2 linked regions of the Drosophila melanogaster genome follow. The protein of the gene in region 1 interacts with the protein of each later gene in a pairwise test. Each region holds a gene or a part of one and is shown on either strand. Other genes may lie near its edges.

Region 1 (12,458 bases):
ATGGTCAGAATTCACAGAATGCATTAGCGAGTTAATCATGTCAATGGCGGAGTATGTCACAGCCAAATCCTTGCGTCTTAAAGCAGCCACCACCTTTGTACCGATAATCTCACGAAAGCTGAAATGTATTCAAACATTAACAATGCTATTAGTACGAAACTAGAATATATTACCCCGGGAGATTCGTAAAGGCTGCGTATCCAACTTTGCTAGCGAGAAGACGAGTAAGAGCGTGAAAGATAGCCTCCAGCTCCAAGTTGCTCAGCTGGGCCGTAGGGCTGTCCAGCTCCTTTTGAGCCAACGCTTGCAGGGCACTCAGGATAAGTTTATCTTTGTTTTCAGCAAACAAGCTCTGTGAAACGAAACATTAGTTAGGTTGAACCGGAATCCGAGCATTAGGTTAACCTACATCCTGAGTTACACTGTAGTTGAGGCCACTGTGAGGCACATTGGCATTAAAGCGCTCCAAGATCTCATACCGCTTAGAGGGGTTTTGAAAATTGTTGATAACCAGGCGCATCAAATTCGCCTCCGTCTCCTCGTCCACCGAGCTGTTCAATGGCACATACCGTTTCCCTCGCGGCGTGTTGCCAATGCGGACGTGCACATCCTGATTGCCACTGGAGCGGACAGCATCCAGAACAGTGGCCAACAATGAGTCGCGGTCGTTGGTGCTGTAGTTGCGCACGATTCCATTCTTGTACTCGATGCTGAAGCGCTGAAGATTGTCCTTGTCTCTAACTAAGGCAAACACATCAGTGAGCGGACGCAGGGTGCAGACGCTGTAGGTTTGAGGATCCCGCTCCAGCAGCGTTACCTCGGTGAGGCAGAGTATACGCTTCACCGGATCCGGATGGCGGGGCGTTATCTTATGAACCGAGAATTCGGTCGACGAGGTTTGAAACTGGTCACCACTGAAATATTATATGGCTTTTTTTTTCTACAAATTCTTTATTGCGTTTCACATGAACTTACCTAAACTTGCCGAACCGCTGCCTCTCGAACTGCTCCAGAGTGATCTGACTCTTGAGTATTTTGGTTTCGATGCCCAGAAACTGAGCCGATCTCTGTGCTATGTTCTGCACGATTTCGTGGTGATTCAGCGCCTTAAACAAATGGAGGCGACTGAATCCGCCGTAGGCCATCACGATTCCTCCCTCATAGTCCGAGATGCCTGCTTAAAACGTGTGCGGAAGAAAGATGAGTGCGGCAAGTAACCAAAAATAAAAAAAAGAACAAAACACGGAGCGATCATATTGAATTGTAATTGAGGCACATGAGGACAAAACAAGACACATTAATTGATGCAAGCGAGTCGAATGTGCATAGCTACCTATTATTCCCTCGATATCCTTGTACATATAGCTGGCCAGCACGTCGTTGGTGGTGGGATCGAGCTGGTCCAGAGAACAGGGCGTGACCTCCAGTACTGTGGGAAGACTGATGCCCGACCAGTGGTATTTGTAAGCACTAAAGCGCTACAAAATTTAGATAGTATTCAAAATTAAAATTTTGACAGATTAGAATTCATATTGCATATTTAAATGTTAATTAGAAACATCTGAATCACACATGAAATGTTGGAGAAGTGTTTCCAAATTAGTATAGGATTTAAAGCGAGACTCAAAAACCAACCTGAGCATTTTTCGGCTTGTCCGCAAACTCTTTGTAGTACTTTAATATAGAGCTTAGGATATCGTTCCGATATTCCGACGATAACTTGATTGTATCTAGTTTCTTATCCTTTTTGATGGTAATCACGAAGTCATGGGGTATCTGAAAGATCAATTTATTTAGTTCCGAGCTCTCCGTAGGATCTTATAAACTCACATTTGTGGTCTTTGAGGGTGCTGCTGCTACGATGTCCGAATAGGACCACCTGTTAGTCAGGTCAAGCTTGTCCGGATTGTAGGTGGATATGCCGGCCGTGCCGATGGAGAGGATGCGCTTATACCTGCCCTTCCAGGAGTGCTTGGTCACCAGGAAGCACTCCAGATCGACGTTTTCCTTAGGCGGCAGCATCGTTTCTTGTGACGATTCCAACTGATTACCTTCCACCCAGTATTAGTCAGCAACTGAAAGTGAGTGAGATATGGAGTGTGGGAACGGGAGTCAAATCAGAGCCGCGGCAATTCATGACTGGTCTTTCGGGCGCGCAGCTGGTTCACGTTCCCAGCGGTTTCCAAATATCCAATTGACTTGCCCCCGACTCCAGGGCACTGATTAATTAAGTCGACTTGGGCACTTATCAGCAGAAGTGCCAACGGAGCCCCAACAAAGACCAGAAAAGGGGAGTAAACGTGACGAGTGCGGAATGCTGCGGCCCCCAGAGCGCGGACCGTTGGATACGGCTCCGCCGAGCTGCAGCCCTGGCGGTGGCTTACCTTAAACATCTAACACATTTTGCCCAATTGTTATATTGTCTTCTATTCCTAATATCTCTCGTTTGCGGAATTTTTGCAATAAACAATTTAGCAGTAACACGGCTACACAACACTAATAAATAGAGGTGCAAGTATCGATGGCAATAGTCTTGCAGCGATTCGATAGTTTGTAAGGTTCTATCGATAGTGGTCCCGTTCAGCAGCAATTGGTAAACGCATATTCACGGTATTCTCGGAGTATTTAAGTTTCAAGCTTAATTCACTTTTGAGTCAGGATGTTTGTTTGTGCCATAAAACATTTTATAAAACCAAATTGCAATTAAACCTGATTCCAGCTTTTTCCCAATTTTTCCCATACCAATTACCAGTTTATACGTTTCGCTTTTCATAACGATTAAATAATTGCTAATAATTTTATGTAGAATATGAACGCACGACACTTTTATCTGTATATCATTATTTTTAAGTTTAATATGTGATCACTAAACAATAAGGAATACCATAGTTGATAACTATCGATAGTTTGAATATTAAAAAAAAAGAAAAACATTGCCGGTTGGGGATACGATTTTTTACCGTTAAAAAAGGAAATGTAAAAACAAAGCTTTTATTCGTATTTATTTACAAAGACCAGTGATTCAATGAAGGCAAATACTAGTAGCATAACATTTTCATTGTATCACAAAAGCACTTACACAGAATTTATTCAGCCAATAAAACACGTCGTCTGAACTTAACTACCATTAAAAACTTTATTTCTGATTTCGCATTGCATTAAGCGTACGTATTGTTATCTAAATACAAATAATGATGGCAGAGTGTGTTTGCATACGAGAATAATAATTCCAAGATAAAACAATCTCGCCAGCAGAGGCAAATAAAACAAACAAAACAATAAGACGATTCGCATTTTACACAAATGTAGTATGCTATGATACGGATGCTGCACTACCTCCGGCTAATCCTCGCAACTAGGGCAATGATGGTGATAGTAATAATGTTTCGTATGCGTAGGTATGTTATGTGTCACCATATAAATTCTCAAAGTGACACGGATCCCGATGCCGGCGCAACATTGTGGACCCACAGACGGGGTGTTAAAGATAAAGACGGACGGGATGATACGGATGACACTAAGTCTTAGACAAATGTTACGTTAAAACCCTAAGCATAGTTATCGCTATCTTCTAACAACATGAACATGGAGTGGACGTAGGCACATGGCGTTTCTGTGTTGAAACTCGCTCTTAAACTGGGAATGGGAATAGGAGTCGCCGGACCTCGGTCCCAGGTCAGCAGGAACACTTGTTCTTGGCATCCGATCCGGTTGCATCGGCCGCGCTCAAGTTGAACTTGTCGCCATCGGCCAGATCGGCAGATATCAGCTTATCGTTGATGAGTATCTGTCGGGCGAGTGGAAGAAGATTAGCGGGGCTTTGGCTGGGCATTAGCAGCGATTATCACCTTATTCACGAGGGCACGAGCTGCCTCATCGATGTTGATATTCTCCTTGGCGGATGTCTCAAACCAACCGGCAAATCCGTTCTCCCTCACATACTCATCCATCTTCTCGGGCTGCGTTATGATGCCCTGCTTTTCCTGGTCGCACTGGAAAACGGATGAGCAACGTATTAATCACATAATATAGAAATTATGCGGTCTCCTTTAACCTTTAGGCAATCACTTACTTTATTGGCCAGCAGGATGCACGGAATGGGACTGCCGTCCGGCAGCTGCACCTTGGAGTCTAGATCTTCCTTCCACTTGCTCACGCAATCGAAAGTCCCACTGCGAGTCACATCAAAAACGATGAACGCGCCCACCGCCTCCTTGTAGTAGACACGGGTCATGTTGCCAAACCTCTCCTGACCGGCGATATCCCACAGCTGGAGGCGCACTATCGTATTGGCGTCCCACTGCAGCACTTTCAGGGCGAAGTCCACGCCGATGGTGGCCCTGTAGTTCTGGCTGAAGAACTGGTGCACATAGCGCTTAATGAAGGACGTCTTGCCGGTGCCCAGTTCACCAATGACTAGAATCTTGTACAGATGCTCGCGCTTATCGCTGGTGGATGTCATGATGGCCTGCAAGCAAGGATTGGATGAGAGTTACTTGTATGTTCGATCCATGCTTAATAGAATAGTTTGATAAATTTGATACACTAAACAATGAAATCCCACTTGTGACTTGAAATCTCAAGATAAAGAGATACATACTTTTGGGCTCTGGGTTTCAAGATACAAATATAAATAATCCGTGCATTTCGAATTATAATAAGTAGTAAAGTTTGTTCTATCATAGCACGTTTACACTCAGTTATATAAAAGCATATCAATATATAATATAGGAAGTGAGAATTCACCACTTTAATAAATTCTAAGCCTGGTATTAGTTACACCTTCTGCTGCTCGTCAATCCGCACTGAGATTTGCTGGTTAGTTGACGAGACCCCCTGGGCTATTACCACCGCCCGCCGCCCGCACAGTTGAATGACACTCTGGAACACACACTATAAGGGGGCCAACATATCACTTGTGGGGCTTCTTCGCTTCTTCGTAGGTAAATGACAACTGGCGAATTGGCAATCCGACGACGACGAGACCTTACCGGTTCCATTTCCTGATCCATGGTCAGGTCACCGAAGGCCGGCATGGGCTTGGCGTTCTCTGGCTCTGTGGTATCCGCCTGCTCCTCGCTATCGTCCTCGGATCCGGAGTCCTGGTTGGAGTATTCACTAGCCACCGACTGATAGTGCAGTGTTTCCCGCCTGCCCTCGATGCTGTCGTGGTCGCCGAGGATGAGCTGCTGCTGAGCGAAGCTGAGACGCCGGATGCTGGAGTCGCTGAGCTCTTCGTTGGAGTTGGGCTGTTGACTGGCGGCGGCGGCCAATGCGGCTTCGTAGGCACTCAAGGGACTCCTGACTGCACTGCCCACTTCAAAGCGGACAACGGGCGGGGGATTAGCAATAGTCTGGGCGCTTTCCGCCGAGGAGACTCCGTCCTCAGCCGCCGGAGGGGATGTGGATGGGTCCAGGGATTGCTGCCCTGATGGCTGGGGTTCCGTGTTCGCTAGTTCAGCCAGTGGTCTGGCGTTGAGGCGGTGGCCGCGCTGCTGCTGCTGCTGCATCAATTCCAGCTTCCTGCTGGATGCGCTCGAGGATTGGGACTTGCGAACAGCTCCGGTGCCGCTGGCTGACTGAACGCGACTTGGTTTTGCTGGCGCCCGTTCTCTGGGCGGCGTATCGCGCGTGCTCTCGGTGGTGGTGATAAGCGGCGACGGCGACGCCGATGGGGACTCTCTCTCGGGGCTCTGGGGCTTCTTCTTCGACACCAGCAGCTTGGTGGTGCGGGTGCTGCTGCTCGTATCTCTCGTGGTCACGGTGGTGGTAGTGGTTTTCTTTCTCGGTTTCCTTTCTTCTGCGGCGGGTGTCAGATAATCCGTGTCGCTCTTGGGTCTGCTCTTGCCGCTCTTCTTGGCGGGCGATGGCTCCACCTTCTTGCCACTGATGGTGATCTGCAGCGTGCTGCTGCCGGCGGAGGTGGGCGAACCGGGTGGCGATGGCAGGGGTGTTGTTTCCAGGTGCTCCACGCTGATGTCGTCGCTGGTCGCCAAGCTGTGGGGCCGCCCCTTCGGCGTTTTCCCACTTTTTCTCAGGCCTCCAAGAAGCAGGCGGCGCGTCAGGCTCTTTTTCTTGGTCTTGCCGAGGGCTCCACTGTCCGTGGAGATGGAGCTGGCCACGTCTTCGAGCTCGCCTGGGGTTTCCTGAGCCTCTTCCTCCGCGCTGCGTGTTTCCCTGTCGGTGCTTTTATCCAGCTCCCTTTCCCTTTTGGTTTTGGTCTTCGAGAGGCTTCGCAGAGCCGCAGTGAATCGGGAACGGCCCTTGATCTTCGCGGTGGCCTCCTCAGACTCGTCTTTCGGATCCCCGTCCCCCTCCTGGCGGTCACCCTTTTCCTCCGATTGCTCCGATTCCGCTCTCTTTGTAGCTGCTTTTCCCCGCTGCTCGTCCACGTTGGGCATATTTTCAACTGACGCTGTTGATCCCTAGCGATTCTACACAGATTCCATTTGCTCCAGCTTGATTTCCAGTCCTGATCCTGCACGATCCTCGAGCTTTTTTTTTTTAAGCAACCGTTGCCCAGACTAAACGAACGCGCACTAAAATCCCCAGTGCCGACGACTAGGCTTTTATAAATTTTGTATTCGCCCCGTTGGTCCCGCCCCCGCACCATCCCCTTTTGTGGTGAGAGGTTTAGCATTACAGTTACGAAAATCGCTATAGCTGGCCAGGTGCTTACCAACACTGGTTGCCGCCTCCAAATCGCTTGCGAAATGAGCGTGAGAAGAGCCGGTGGGCCTTTGAATGGGCCGATTGGACGGCTGGCACCCGCTTATCAAGCAATCCCCGGACAAAGATTGGCCAGTGTCCGGTGGCCCGCCATAATCGACGCCAGTTGTCCGGCTGGTTAGCCCTGCTCCGGAATCACTGGGCTCTATAATTTGGATCGAGGTAATGCATAATGCCATGATGCCGTGATGCTACGATGACGAGCACCCAATCATCCGGCACAACCAGTGGAGCAGGGCGCCCAGTGTCCATATCTGGACCTGACCTCTCCAAGCAACCCAGAACGTGCTCCGCCGCACTTGGCGGGCTTCCTTTAAGCTGAGGATTTGCCGCATCAACTTGTCCCAAAAGAGTCGCTCGGCATTAAGTGGGCGACACATCAATCTGGCGGATTGGCCGCTGTCTTGGCCGACTGTCGACTTACTGCTCGACGTGACTATATAGAATTACGCTTATTACAAAACGTGGTTAGCCGCAGTGCATCGAGCAGAGCGACAGGGAAGGAGATATGTGGCCCATATACGATTACCCAAGTAATAACCCGAAACGCAAACGGGATGGCACACATATGTATGTATGTATGTATGGATAGATCGTATCTTACAGATGTACGGAAGTTGCTTCAGATCTGACTTAATTAGATATTACAGTTCCTTATACAGGCACTTTGCTGCGGTTGCGATATCATTGAGCAGTGGGGTAGTTATCAATACTTTTAAAAATGTATAGTATTATTACCAAACACCCTTTTGAACTTATAGTTTGACTATAAATTAAATTAAAGAATAATTTATTGGTAAAAACAATATTTGCCTATATTTGATTAGCTTTATGCTTATCACTAGGGTTAGTAACCATTTCAGATTCCTTTAAAACAACCCATTTGCAATATTGCTAGATTACTACTTATCCATCCTGTTTTCTGAAAGCCGTTTTCTTTTGGAGCACTACATCATTGAAAGTGATTGTTCTTTGATGACTTATATTTTCCTATAAACTAATAGCTATTGGTTATTTAGACCAGGCATTAATCAATGCGATTGCACAGTAAAGTAAAGCGTTCTAAATGTAATTCACCATAAAGAGCGCTGTCTGTAGCCTAACCGATTTGCACATTCTGAAATCGGGGACAAGTCAACAGTCGAATCAGCTTACATAATTCATGGGAGATTACAGCAAACACATTTTCTCAAGCCTTAAAAATTCCAGTTACGGAGCAGAGGGCTTTTAAACCATAATGTGCCTTGGAAACCGAAAGCATTAGAAATTCACTTTCGCATAAATGTCGAACGTGGAAGAGTTCCTTTGTGCCCGCAGATGTTTACACGCAATCCAGCCGGAAAACAGAAAACAGAAGAGCTATGCGAAGCATTCGGCCTCCATCTGAAAGTCAGGCGCCTGCAAGTGCCCCCTGACGACCCCATTCCGAACAAAAGCCACACGGATGCCCCGATGTGGCGAAGTCCTGCACGGACTTCTTTTCCGTAAATCGGATACCGAATGGCAGTGGCTAGGAGCCCCCCACCCGCATCGGCCAGCAATCACGTGCAAGTGAGCTCAACAAGAGGAAGTGAGCACGTGAATGAGTTCCTGGAATGGAAACTACTGGGATTGCATGTATCACGGCAGGCGTAAAATCAAGCGAATCTAAAGACACCTGTCTTTTTAGATAGCTTGGGAAAGTACTATTATGGCTAAGCCCATTTTCAGTCGTTTAATCCGAAGGTTTCTAACTGAACCCCAAAAGTATGCAATAAAATCTGATATGTAAGTGTAAAAAGTAGAATAACAAGTTGACGGCGGTGTTAGTTATTGCAAATATTTGTCAATTTGATAAGGAATACTATGCTATTAAAACCAAAATTATTTTGATTACTAAAAGTCCATGATTTAAGTAATTGTTGAAGTACGACATTTACGTATAAATAATATGAATTTTATTTAATGAAAGTTAGTTCAGTGCGATGTACTTTAACTGTCAAAGTTCAAAGCATTCGTTTAAATATAATACCTCAAAATATCGCAGGTTGATAAACATGGAGACTGCGTGCACAAAGATAGTTGGCATTGGAATTTTAAGATTGGCAACCTGGATTGCGTGATACGATACTGCGGCGGCAGAGCGATACTCTTACAGTTACCATAGTAAATATGTACATGCATGTACATATGTACATATGCTTATCAGTTTGCCCGGGCAATTGTCATGTAAATTAATCAGTCGGCCACAAACGTAAAGACACACAAACAACACTGCGGAGTGAAGTGGAGTGCATTGCCTTGGCCAGCGATGCGCCGAGGGAGTTGGAGCTCGATTACATAAGGAGGATGCTCTGCGAGTGGCGTACAGCGATCCCTCAATGGACTCTGCACACGCTGCTTTGCGTATTATCGGTGGGTGGCATGGAGTGTAGTGCCAGCTCATATCTTATCACGCAATGGAGTCGCCCATAAAAGGGGGAGGAAGAGGAGGCGAGAGGGCCCTGATTAGATAGTGGCCGAAATGCAATAAGACCTTGTGATTCATCGAGCGAGCTACATGCATGTGCGATGTGTAAATGGGAAATGCTGGAAATGCCAGGCAGTAATTAAAGAGCCCACACTTTCCTAGCTTGCTTCCATAATTGACCTTCAAACGTGACTTTGCCTATGTCTGATGAACCGAATCCGTAGCCTACCTCCTTCCAATCCGCATTATAGTTTCTCAACAGTAGCGGATATCTATAGCCGGCTAACCCGGCAATCACTTAAGTAGCTCAACACACCCACATGGTTCCGTCCCCGAATCCGACCCTTCTATGTGGAATGTGTAGTATGACCATATCCGTAGCCCCGCTTCACATTGTTTTGATTTTATCGTCTGGCTTGTAACTGAGCTGGGTATCCAATGAAAAAGCAATTGTAATTTCATTACCATTTAATTGGTAAAATTGGCATTGGGAAAATGGCAATCGGTCGATTGAAGATTAGAAGCAAACTAATTCTGAAAGGGAAATTCATTTTGTAGTGTGGGTGGAAAAACGTAATAAAATGGGTACACTGATAAAAAAAAGCTTCGATTTTTATCTATAGTATAGATAGTATTAAAATATAAATGTTAATTTATGGACTTTTGAACTTGCCTTAAATTTGATTCATATTTATTTCAATAGGGAAATTAGAATGTTCGTGGAAAAATCCTTAGATGAAATTAAATTAAAATGTAATTATTTGTATCAGTGCATTGTGATATTCCCCATTGCGATATTCCACATTCCGTGCATTATTCACGCTCCGTAATCCCATCTGGTGGGTTTCCGCAAAGTTCTCTGAGCAACTAAAACGGCTAATGAGTACAAGCTGGTTGTGTTAACGGCCTGACGAGGCGAAATAGCGAAAGCCATTGCAACACTTGGCCAACTTATTTTTGGGCATTTCCCACACTTGCAAAAAAAAGAGTATATATTTTTTTTTGAAAAGTCATCATTTAACGCCAATTTAAAATCGCATGAAAGTTGGTGTGCTATGACTATTTGCTAATGCTTCACTATTTAAGATTTCCTTTTTCAAATTAAAAATAATAACCAGTAATTACCAAGTACATATGAATGTAGGTGCATTCTGATCCCTAACATATGGGTTCACGCCCTTTTAATTGTTTAAAGTATGTCCCTCCTCCCCACATTACATTTTGGCACGTGCCGGCTGTAGGCAAACACTTTCCATTGCGGGTTATGGTGGAGGTACTTACTCCGTTGTGCAGGTATCCGTTGTTCCTGTTGATGTCCATGTGGTTACGGTTGACTCCCGCGGGCATGACCGTGGTCAGTTGCAGCGCCTCTATGGCGCCGAGATCCAACTCCGGCTTGGGCTCGGCGTAGGCCGGAGAAGCACTTCGCAGCGAGAACTGGGAGGAGCTGAGCGGCGGATGCAGCTGGGTCTCCGCGGACGGGAAACAGATCTGGCGGCGCACGAAGATGGGCGACTCCTTGGCGCTGAGGGCGCCCAGTGAACCGGAGCCTGAGCTCACGGGTCGGTGTCTGTGCTCCACGGGCAGGTGACCGGACTGGGTGTTCGGATGCTGAAGATCCGTGGCCAGGTACTGGCAGCGCAGGCAGGCGCAGGTGAGTTCCGAGAGCTGATCGGCCGACTTGGATTTGGGCAGGGCCTTGACCAATCCGGCGGACTCCTGTTCCAGGCAGTCGCAGATATTCTGGCGTCCGGCGGAGGTGGAGACAACGCTACTCTGGATGACGCCGGTTGCCATGCAACCACCGATACGGGGTGGGTGAGTGTGATCTTTAGACCTTCTCCGCAGTTATCTAACGCCCCCGCCCAGTCAAGGTCGTTCACACGCGCTCTAGTGGCCCTCTCCAGGCACAGACGTATAACTCTCGCTCTTCGGAACGCGGATCCCGAGCAACATGTGGTTCTGGTCTAACGGTAAACAATGGCTAGACTGTTCTTGAACTTATCAGAAGAATATGTAGGTATTTATTTGCGAGTTTCACAGCTATATATTTGCGGTGTTATCTCAATCGATCGGTTTGTTGAACTCGACCGTTGCACTTTTTTGGACAATTTCATGCACTCGAATCGCTGGAAACTGGTTTCAAATGCAAATGGAACAGTTCGGTGGTAGCCACTTACTTTGGATCTTAGTGTCATAGGGCTTAAACGGTCGTTTGCAACTTATATTGTTTGCTCTTGCTGATAATTATACGAATCGTAAATTAAATTCACACACGTTCGATTTCCAGGCACGCAATACTACGCAAGACAACAACAACACGAGCCAAGACGGCGCAAAACAACAACAACAGTGATTCCGAGCCTCGAGACGTCCGACCTCCAGTAATTTCAGTTTATAACTGAACCGAAAACAAAAGGAAAACTTTGTCGCACGAACAAATCCGAAAGCGAGAGCTTTGCGAAAAGCTCTACGTAGAAAACCGTTAAACGGACTCCGAGTCGGACTAGATTGAAATCCGCATCGTTTGGCGGTAAATCGATTTTTAAGTTAGAGCGGCGTTAATTCAAATATAAAAATATATACTACTCCTAGAGGGATACCACTGTGGTTGCTTTTTGCAAAGCTTACACGATCTATAAAGATGCCAGATGGTATAATTTTCCAGATAGTTTATTTTTTTTATTATTATTCATTTAAACAAGGATATCACACCCAGAAAAAGGCATTCTTTGGCTCACAAAGATTTGGTTTATTTGCAAGAGTGAGGCTATGGACTTATATTTCACAGGTATATTGTAACACTTTCGTCTGAATTCAATCACAAATCCATTCTGATCCACACTTAGGAACAACAATCACTTTACTTACTACGAAAAGACCAAATAAGTCTTCGCAACAACTAACTAAACTTAAACTAAAAGCAGCTGCGCATGCTCAGCACGATTGCAACTGCCCGCTGACTATAGAGACATATGGAAATGTCGTGAGGTGATATATGTATCTTAGAAGCCTAAAAGGAATCCAACCAAAGGAAAATCACACGTCCGACGCATCCTCTTTAGTCTCAATTCGCTTCCGCCTGGCGAGCAGGAAATGCGAGACGTTCTCGTACACCAGAAAGGTGACCATGCAGGCAGGCACTACTCGGGTTAAACTCGCCTTCAGCCCCTTGTAGAAGCCTCTGTAGCCCTCAAACCTGCAAAGAGAACCAAACACAATGCGGTTAGAGACTGAGAACTGAAAGCTACATCTACTTACAGTAAGGGCGCATTGGCTG
Region 2 (9,780 bases), on another chromosome or scaffold:
TATCTAACGACTAAGGAATATTTTATCAACTAACACAATTTAGGTTAAGTTTTAGGGGACCCTCTAGTCGAGAGTCTTCGATCAATCGATATTTCATTGATAGTTTTCACTATCCTAGCTTAGTGAACTCGTGCCTCGATATCAAATATCTAAAATGTGGTTTAATCAAGGCTATAGAAAATACTACAATACCATTATTGTTGCATACTCTTGGGCTTATAAGTTCAATCTGAGCTTGAAATATGCCTGGTTAGGCCACATTGTCCAGTCGATTCCTTTGACTATAACCTCTGGTAACTTAAATCCATGAGTTTTATTTAAAATGCAACATAAAACCGAAAACAAGTGCGAATAAAATACAAATATTGTGTATACGAGACAGGAAACACTTCAAGTTCCAGCTTAAAGAAGTTTCATGGTGATGGTCTTGGTTTCCAGATAGTTATCCAGGCCATCCTTGCCCAATTCCCTGCCAATGCCAGAGTGCTTGTATCCACCGAACGGGGTGGAGGGCAGCACGGCATCATAGCAGTTGATCCACACGGAGCCGGCATCCACATTGTTGGCGAATTTCAGTGCCTTGTTGATGTCATTGGTAATAACGCCGGCGGCCAGGCCATATTGCACATTGTTGGCCCGATCGATCATCTCCTCCAGGGAGCTGAACTTGAAGATCGACTGAACGGGGCCAAAGATCTCCTCCTGGGCAATCCGCATATCATCCTTCACGTCCGAGAAGACAGTGGGCTCAACGAAGAAACCGACATTGCCGATCCTCTTGCCACCAGCCTGCAACTTGGCACCCTCCTTCTTGCCACTCTCGATGTAGCCCAACACCTTGGTCAGCATGTCATCGTCGATCTGGGGACCCTGCTGCACATTCTGCTCGAAAGGATTGCCCACCTTGCGGGCCTTTGCCTTGGCAGCTGCCTTGGCCACGAACTCGTCGTAGATCTTTTCGTGAACGTAGGTGCGACTGCCGGCACAGCAGCTCTGGCCGTGATTGGAGAACAGAGCCTCGTGGGTGGTTTCCACGGCGAAGTCAACTAATGGGGGAAAGCAGGAATTAGTAGGTTTATGCTTAAGTTTTAAAGAGATAAGTAACTCACTGTCCGCATCATCGAAGACCACAACGGGGCTCTTGCCGCCCAATTCCAGGGAGACCCTCTTCAAGTTCGACGTGGCTGCAGCCTGCATGACAATCCGACCGATTTCCACGGAGCCGGTGAAAGCCACCTTGGCAATATCAGGATGAGCACTGATAGCAGCACCGGCAGTGGGACCAAATCCGTTGACCACATTGATCACACCGGCTGGGAAGCCTGCCTCCTTCGCCAAAGCAGCCATGTGAAGGGCAGTCAGAGGAGTTTGCTCCGCGGGTTTCATGATGATGGTGCATCCGACGGCCAGAGCGGGGCCCCACTTCCAGGCCAGCATCAGCAGGGGATAGTTCCAGGGTATGATCTGGCCCACCACGCCCACCGGTTCCTTGCGGGTCATGGAGACAAAGCCTCCAGCGGGAATGGTGTCGCCGAAGAACTTGTCGGTCCAGCCGGCGTAGTACTGCAGCGTCAGGATCGAGTAGGTCACATCGAAGAGGGCCTCAGCGTAGGGCTTTCCATTGTCCTGGGTCTCCAAGCTGGCCAGGAATGCCTTGTCCCGATCCATCAGGGCACAAAGTCTGCAGGGGATTATATTGTTATACTTTATTTACGTGTGATTTATGGGTAAAACTAACTTGTTCATCAAATTGGTGCGCTGCAGAGGACTCAATTTGCGCCATTCCGAGTCGCGATGGAAGGCTTTCTTGGCCGCTTTCACAGCCAGGTCGATATCAGCCTAATAAAATATTAAGAATAATCAACAGGTACATTTCACCATCGTATCTCTTTCGAGAATGCTGGACTCACCTTATCTCCCTCGGAGACTTGGACAATCTCCTTGGATGTAGCCGGATTGAAGGTGGCAAAGGTCTTGCCCGACACCGAATCAACGAACTCATTGTTGATGAAAAGCTATAAATAAATAAATCAAGTGAGTTTTGATTTAGTGGAAAGTAAATGGAACCAATGGAATCTTTTCCGCCACCTGACAGTAATTGGGTTCGCACTGGGCATAAGTATGATCAAATTTCGACCACTTTCGTGAAACAGCCAATTGGTGTGCCAGTAGTTTTTGCAATTTGTTCATCATTGTTAGCCCAGTTTGTCAGCGATTACTTATCCGCTCAAACAAGTTATCAACCCCCCCGATTGGCCCATTTCAATTTGCCGGGGACACGCGATAATGTAAACACTGTAAAGTGTAATTCTAGTCACGATTCCAAATTGTCGAGCATGTAAAAAATACAAAACTGTTGACAATAAACCAAAGCAGTTTGAGGCTGTTATCTAGTGTTGATTTAAATTATAATGGGTCGTTGGGCGATATGAAATCGTACGACCAGCGTTCTTAAACTTTCAAGATAAAGTAGTCCGCTTATTGTAATCAATTGGAAACAATAATGAATATAGAGAAGTGGGCGTTAAAAATAAGGGCATTATAAGGAGTTTTTACTTTACAGAGAAAGAATCTTTATTAAATATTCGACTAATTGATTAGTTTTCTTTTATATATAATATTTTTTCATAATTTCGCCATTGTAAATGAGCGTTCAAAGTCTTATTCGTATCAGAAAAAAGTTCATGTTGGTCCCCAACGAATGTTTTCTTATCAGCATAGCAAACATCTTAATTATTATTGCTCTATTTCTTTTTTTTTTTTTTTTTCGAATCTGTTTATTTTTTTCATCCCACATCTGTTGATAACAATTTAAGCCCTCTATCTCCGAACAAACTAATTGCTGTTTTTTTTTTAAAATAATCGTACATATGCGTAAGGAGGCCAAAATTGCAAGTATTTGTACATATGTACTTAAATTGCGACACAAACGAGTTTGATGTGTTTCACTAGGCAGCTTACTTTAAATCATTTAACTTGTAATGCAGAAAGTGGAAGTTCAATGCACCTAGCTTAAGTGCAGCGCAGTAAGAGGGATTTGCATTATTTAATAGACAGCTGCCCACACACAATATTTATACTCACTTTTGTGTACTTGGGCTTGGCGTTGGGATCGGCCATATTGAGCGATATATACACCTTCAAGAACTGGAATAGAAACCGGCTGTCTGGGAGACGTCGCGAAACTGAAACTGAAATGCTGCCAGATGCCGATTTATATAGAGCCCCGATAACTGGCTATCAGCGATTTGTTTTGCACTGCCGTTCATCAGATTCTCACTTTGCTTGTGGTCCTCCTCTGAATTATCATTTGCCGGCCGGCATATACAAGTGCCCTACAATGTGTACGGATTGTCCATCGATTCTTTAAGTTATATGGCTTAAATATGGTTATATCAGAATTTTTAGTTAAATATATTGTTTTTAATACTACATTTATTTTTACTATACTTGGTGATATTGATTTATCACAAAAAATTATTAATGACACTTGTTTGTAATTTGACCACTGTAAGCTTTTGGGAGCGGTTGATGTCTTGGCTAGATATCCAAGACACTGTCTTATACGGATTGTGTCTAGGATGTGGTCTTATACTTTAGCTTGTATAAAATGCCCAAACTTCAATTAATAGATCAATGGGTAATATAGGGAGTTTTAAAATTTACTTCATTAAATATAAATAGGTTAAATAGTCTTATTTGCTTATAATTTCAGACACTTGTCGTCTGGATAAGCTGTTTGCCATTGTAATTTTTTATGGGGAAACTTTCGTATTTGTAGGTGCGTTGAACCAGTCCATGATCCAGAAATTTCAGTTTACTCAGCGACTGTGCAATGTAGTTGCTGAAACAGATCGGCAGCTATGTATAGATAGATCAATATTGTAACAGACACACCCACCTATAGTACTCGTAGTCGTAGCGCAGGTATGTGGAGAACGGCTGCAGTTCCAAGCCATCCGGGCAGATCGGATTGCCATGGAGGCTCAAATACTGCAGATTGGGAAAGAACTTTCTGATCAGTCGCATTGTCGTCGGCAGGTCACTGAACTGGAATCGATAAGAAATTGCAATTTTCGACGTTTATTTCTAATATACAGCAATTGAACTGTGATTCTGTGGCTTCACCTCATTTTTGTTGAGCATCAGTACTTCCAATTGTGGCAGCGGGCAAGTCAGTGTCCTCAAATGAGCCTCATGCATGCGATTGCTGTCCAGCACCAAATGACGCAGCTGCTCGAAGTCCGCCAACCAAGACAGATCCTTTAGACAATTGTGACTTAGATCCAGTTGCTCTACATGATCAGCATGCTTCTTAACTAATTCCTGGGGCAGTGTTCGTAAATTCTGTTGCACCAAAATGAGCTAAACCGGTAGACAAAATAAAAGAGATACGACTTTTAATCTTGGCTAGATAAGCTTGATTTTCCTACCTGACTGTCGTTATTTTCAGGCCTTTCCATTGCTCTGAGATAAATCGTATCTGTGGTTAGCGAGATACCTCACCGGCGATCTCCTCGTGAGCAACTGAAATGAGTGCTCGATTGTGCTGCATTCCGTAGCCGAATGCTTTTGTTTTTGGACTGTCTCTTTATTTTTTCATTTTAATTTTTTAAATACCCTACATACATGATTTTTCTGGGCATATGCTTTTATATAAGATTTTTGTTGATAATCATATGAAAATGAATCTATAAATTATGATTAATAAAGATAATCAACTATTGATCAGCTATCAGCTATTTGGTATTAGGCTATCTAAAATGATAAGGCACTTGGAATCAAAAAGTTAAAATATTTCGGAGCCTATGAGGTATTGAAAAGTTGAAACCCTCGACTCCAGTAACCTACTCCATATGCTCTTTGTTTGCGTATAACTTTGTTTGGCTTCTGTGAAGCTTTTTTCCACGACTGACGATTTCTTTCATCGCCTGAACTTGTTCAAGGCGAGAGAGGAAGAAAAACGCTAGTGATAAGTTATCAAGAGTTAACTGACATGTAGATGGCGCCAGCGGGCGACTATGATTGCACATAGAGTATACGACAAGTGGACTTAAATAGGAGACCACATTTAGTAACGGCCATTTAGGGGCTAGTCCTTCGAATGGCTTTAAGCCACTTCAAATCGGAACTGGTCAAGTGCAAGTGGCGCGATAAGTGCTCCACAATGGCAAAGAGCTGGTAAATACATTTTTAATTGCCAGCTGACCGGCAAACAGAGATGACGGCCCACTAAAGAGCCGAAATGAAAAGGCAAATGGAAAGACCAACGCGGACGGACAAAATCTTGTTTGTTAGTGGCCACACTGTGATTGACTGCAAATGGCTAACAAATTGGACTGGAGGCTGGGCCTAGTGCCCAACAAAAGGGGATGACAGCGTAAGTAAACAAAGCGCGGGATACAAATTGCGGCTCACAGCATTTAGCCGGGCACTCAATTCAATGAAACCCAACCATACGCACCGGCAGATGGGTAGATACTCATATACTTTTGCATATCTTTGAGATACGTGACGAGCAACCGGCCTGGCTGACAGCTGTTGCAGATCTCGCGAAAGAAAACCCTTTACCCTTTATGTTTTGACCGCTGTCAGTGACAAAGTATTTGTCCGCTAACCATGTTATTATTTCCCCTGCTTACACTCTACTTTTGACCGTAATAGCCCAGTGTGTGTAACTCTATATATAGGCCTTTGATTGCCTTGCGTCTCAATGGGCATTATAATTCAATGTCAATATTTGGGCACAAGTTAAATGCAGTTGTCCGTGGCATGTGGTCTTCAATTCGGTAAGGCGTTACCCCTGAAAAGCGAAAATCCACTTGAATAAATAAAAACTCGTATCTAAAACTTTCTTTTCCAAGAATTCCTTGAGCCATTAAAACTCGTAGTAAAACCTTTAATGGCATTGTATTTTTACCAACCTCTTTGATGACTAATTATCAGCACTTCATTCTTTACATATATAAAAACTAAGGAAATATTTAACTTATCCTGAAATTCAATTTATTTTCTTCATTAAATTGTTGGAGCAGTCTAGTATAAGCCCCATTAACATTGCCATAGGAACCTGGTCACGAAATCCAGGTAACCACCCTCGTAAATAAAAAGTACTCGACTTGCTCCAGTTTTAATTACTTCCCACAGGCTGTAAGTGAGTTACATAAAACCGGAGGCGATGATGATGGGTTGGGATAAGGGCCTCGATAATTGTGCTAAAATCGGGTGACCTTGACGAGGCGGGAATGGCAAGCGGTGCAAAAATGCTCTGGTTGTCTGTGGTCTTTAATTAACGAGATAATCGACGACGCCGATCGCAGTAATCATCATCATTATGCTCCTCCGGGCTAGCTATTAAGTCACTTAACCGAACGATTTGTCAACGTATTCAAATGAAGGGGGGAATGCCAGGGAATAGACCATATTCATCTGCCATTTGTCATAATTTACGGAGTGTGGGCTGAAGCCCCAGTTAAATATATAACATCTACTTGTGATCTGCTTTTTTTTATAAACTTTTTTTAAGCATGATTTGCATGTTTGGTTTGCAGTTGCCTTCTTATTTTCGGTGTTTGTGGTAAAAGTGAAAAATATACACTTGCTATAGAGTGTAATAAAATTATTTAATATGGTAGTCGAAGCATTTCTCGGAAATCAGTAAATCACTTTATGTGGAAGTCAAATTTTTTTCAGGTTAATTTGAGGTTTGGGATTGTAAGTGAGTGGTATTTTTATATGAACTGACTTTGGTTTAAATTGATTTAAATGGTTAACGGTTAAGTAGAAAGTCCAATAATATGGCATTCTGTACCACTGAGATGGGTATCTATATCCACCACAAGGTTTGCAGCTGCTTCTACTCCGTTTTTAAGTCAAGTGACCTACGCATTCTTCGCTGGCGATGGAATGCGCCTCTTCACTGCCATTGGCCAACTAATCGACTTGTGGGTTCACATCTCAATGACAAAGCCCCAAAGTATCTGCCCCATTCGTGTTGGCCGCTGTGCTTCTTCTATGGCTTTTGCTGTTCGTGGCACTTGAATGCAACAAGTGGCAAGTCAAGTGGCGCATCCCCGGTCGCTTCGTCTATTTTAAGCTGCTGCGATGGAAATTCCCCCCAAGAGGGACGCAGCTCCCCGGCAATGTCAATTTGAAGCGATCGAAGGGCATCGAAAAACAAGACTAAGCCAATGCCACGAGGAGAAGGGCAGGAGATCGAGTATTCGACACAAATCAATAACTCATCGATGGACGTGCTACTGCACTGTTGACCTGATTTTCACCAAATTTCGAACCCTTGATGACACAATCTGCGGCAGCTCCTTTGGTCTTTCTCTTGACCAGGGATGGAATAAAAACTGTTCTTGTAGTCAATATAATTTACCTTAAATAAATTTGTCAAATTTTTTTATCTCATCACTAAAGATCAGATTTTCACCAAGTTTTTCTTTTTGTACTTATACATTTGATGGGCTTAAGCTTGTAACTCGGCCAAAATGGCAGCCACAGCTAAGAAAAACACCTTTTTAGAGAGCTAAAGACCTCAGCAAACCAACGCAATCACTTTTGATTTGATTCCAGAAATTAAATTTTTTGTCAAAATTTTCCATTTTTTATAAGGGGTAACATCGTAATTTTTCGCAAAAATTGACAAAAAATTTTTTTTTCATTCTTGAATGCCAAACGATTAAGCATGTTTTTACGAGTCCAGCAAGGTATGACAATCTATATTTTGACCTCGTTTACGGATAATTTTGCACATTTTTACTGATATTTTTGAACAATTTTATCAATTTCTATGCCATGTTTCAATGTACTATTTACTTATGTATATGTTTAAATTAAGTTGCATCCCTGATTTTATTTTTTGAGTCCGGACCCTTCTTCCCGTTGACAGCGCTTGACTCGTTAGGCTTCTTCTTCGGTGGCCAAGTGCACCAATTTCCAATCGATCGAACGGTGACGTAAAGCTCCAAAACCCTGTTGCCATTACGTACGCCCCCCAACTTCTTGTGCCGCCTTATAGCCATGTCGATGTAGTTATAGCCATAAGCTACATGTGTCCGCACAGCCACTCGACATTTCTCCACCTCGCTGCGTCGAGATGCGTCGGCTGCAATTACAATTAATGATTTCTGTGTGTGGACAGCAAGTGGACAAGCGTCTCGATTCAGCTGGTTACTGGTTGGTTACTGGGTATTGGATAGTGGGTACTGGCGGTCTATTTACTTTCGAACCAATGGCTGTGTGCAGCAAATCCAATTAAATGCCGCTCGCTATTCACTTTATTTGGGTAGCTGCTGTTTTGTTTTATTACTTATTGTTTTCGTTTTCGACGCTTAATGTTTGGCTTCAATTTGAAAATTGATTTTGATTTTGATTTTGTTACGATTGTTTCGTAATTGTTATCGTAGGTGTTGAAAGTGTCCGCCGTCAACGGTTGACAGTTCGGGGGAAATTTGGAACTGGCCTTGAAAAGCCCTTCGTTATTGTGTTATTTTTGGTCTGATGACTGCGTGTATTTATAGGTTTATAAACGAATTTGTTAGGGTTTAAGAATGGGTTAAAATGCATTGTATTGTATGCAATGACTGGGATCTTTTAAAGTAACTATTGTTAGTTCCATATGCAATGAGACAACATTGAAGCTTAATGATACTTAAGAATGAGTAGAAATAATTATAAAGAAAAATACTAAAGCTGAAAGCATAATAAACCTGCAACTTTGTTTTACAAATTTACTAAGTTACACATTTAATGTATACTTGGCTTAATGTCCTAGCACAACACGTTGTTTTCGTATTTCCCGTTCACTATTTAGATTCCTTGCTAATCATGCGAAAAAATGGATTATCCCTTGACTGGATTGCCGGGGAATCACATGACCCGGCTGTCGAGGAAGTACAAACTGGACAAACAAGTTCCTCGAGGCGTCACATGAATGAAGTTCATCAATGGGACTCGGTCGAGTGTGTAATCGTGGGTCACTTTCGATTTCGAGCCAGCAATTTAAGTGCGCTCCAATTGTGAAAATAACACTTGGCGCACTTGGCCGAAGGTTGCGGCTGCTGCATCTTTCAGATGCGAGATATGAGATACGAGCTACGAGCTACGAGCTACAAGATACCAGATACGAGATACTCAGCGGAGAGTGTTACACATAACGATTTGGGCAAACATTTTTTCGCGTTGGCCCAGGGCATTGATTGTGGACTATGGGGTTGCCCCCTCCTGGGAGATTCGTTTTGCAGACGGGTTTGCTCCAATTTCTCGCTTGTGAACCCAAAAGACACGTGTCGCAGACTTCTCTCTGCATCCGTATCCGTATCTTTGCTCTGCGCCGCCTTCTACTCGCTTTTGGCCAAGTTCATCCGAAGCTCTTCGCGTCTCTTTTGATGCTTAATTAAATTCATTTTTTCGTTTATTTCGTTTACCTTTTGTAATGAGACTTTGAGCACTCGGAGCTGCGGACATCGAATCATATAAATTCGGACCGCGGCGGCCAAGTCAGCATCAGTCGAGCATCGAGCTTCTCCATCGAAGCATTTCATCGAGCCAAAGGATTACGGGCTTACTAAGCAGCAAAGGATTTCCGATTACCAGAAGCAAAATGCGTGTCTCCTCGCTGTTCGTTGTGTGCGTGGCCTCCCTGGTGGCCACCACTTTGGGTCGTCCTGAGCCCCCATCCCCGTACTCCTACCACGGATTGCCTCAGCAGCAGAGCCAGCGGGCTTTGCCACTCAATGGTAAGTGGGCGGAGGATGAAATAGAAACATTATA

What was found.
Region 2: the proteins of Rab32 (region 1) and CG31076 interact in a two-hybrid assay, tested with the Drosophila melanogaster proteins (one large-scale study listed by BioGRID).

What each region holds. Positions count from the first base shown.
Region 1 is NT_033778.4:9,174,758-9,187,215, forward strand, and holds Rab32 (Rab32), read right to left. Parts: upstream 6,542-12,458; 5' UTR 6,402-6,541; coding exon 4,992-6,401; intron 4,590-4,991; exon of another isoform or gene 4,469-4,589; coding exon 4,073-4,468; intron 3,993-4,072; coding exon 3,849-3,992; intron 3,788-3,848; coding exon 3,677-3,787; 3' UTR 3,107-3,676; downstream 1-3,106. Other genes in the region: Rme-8 (receptor mediated endocytosis 8), read right to left, coding at 1-118, 174-352, 410-914, 976-1,177, 1,334-1,478, 1,636-1,776, 1,831-2,022; CG8026 (uncharacterized protein), read right to left, coding at 12,218-12,377.
Region 2 is NT_033777.3:26,985,324-26,995,103, forward strand, and holds CG31076 (uncharacterized protein), read right to left. Parts: upstream 4,530-9,780; 5' UTR 4,464-4,529; coding exon 4,434-4,463; intron 4,366-4,433; coding exon 4,129-4,365; intron 4,051-4,128; coding exon 3,902-4,050; intron 3,845-3,901; coding exon 3,712-3,844; downstream 1-3,711. Other genes in the region: CG31075 (uncharacterized protein), read right to left, coding at 403-1,046, 1,110-1,681, 1,739-1,839, 1,911-2,015, 2,089-2,193; TwdlC (TweedleC), read left to right, coding at 9,611-9,746.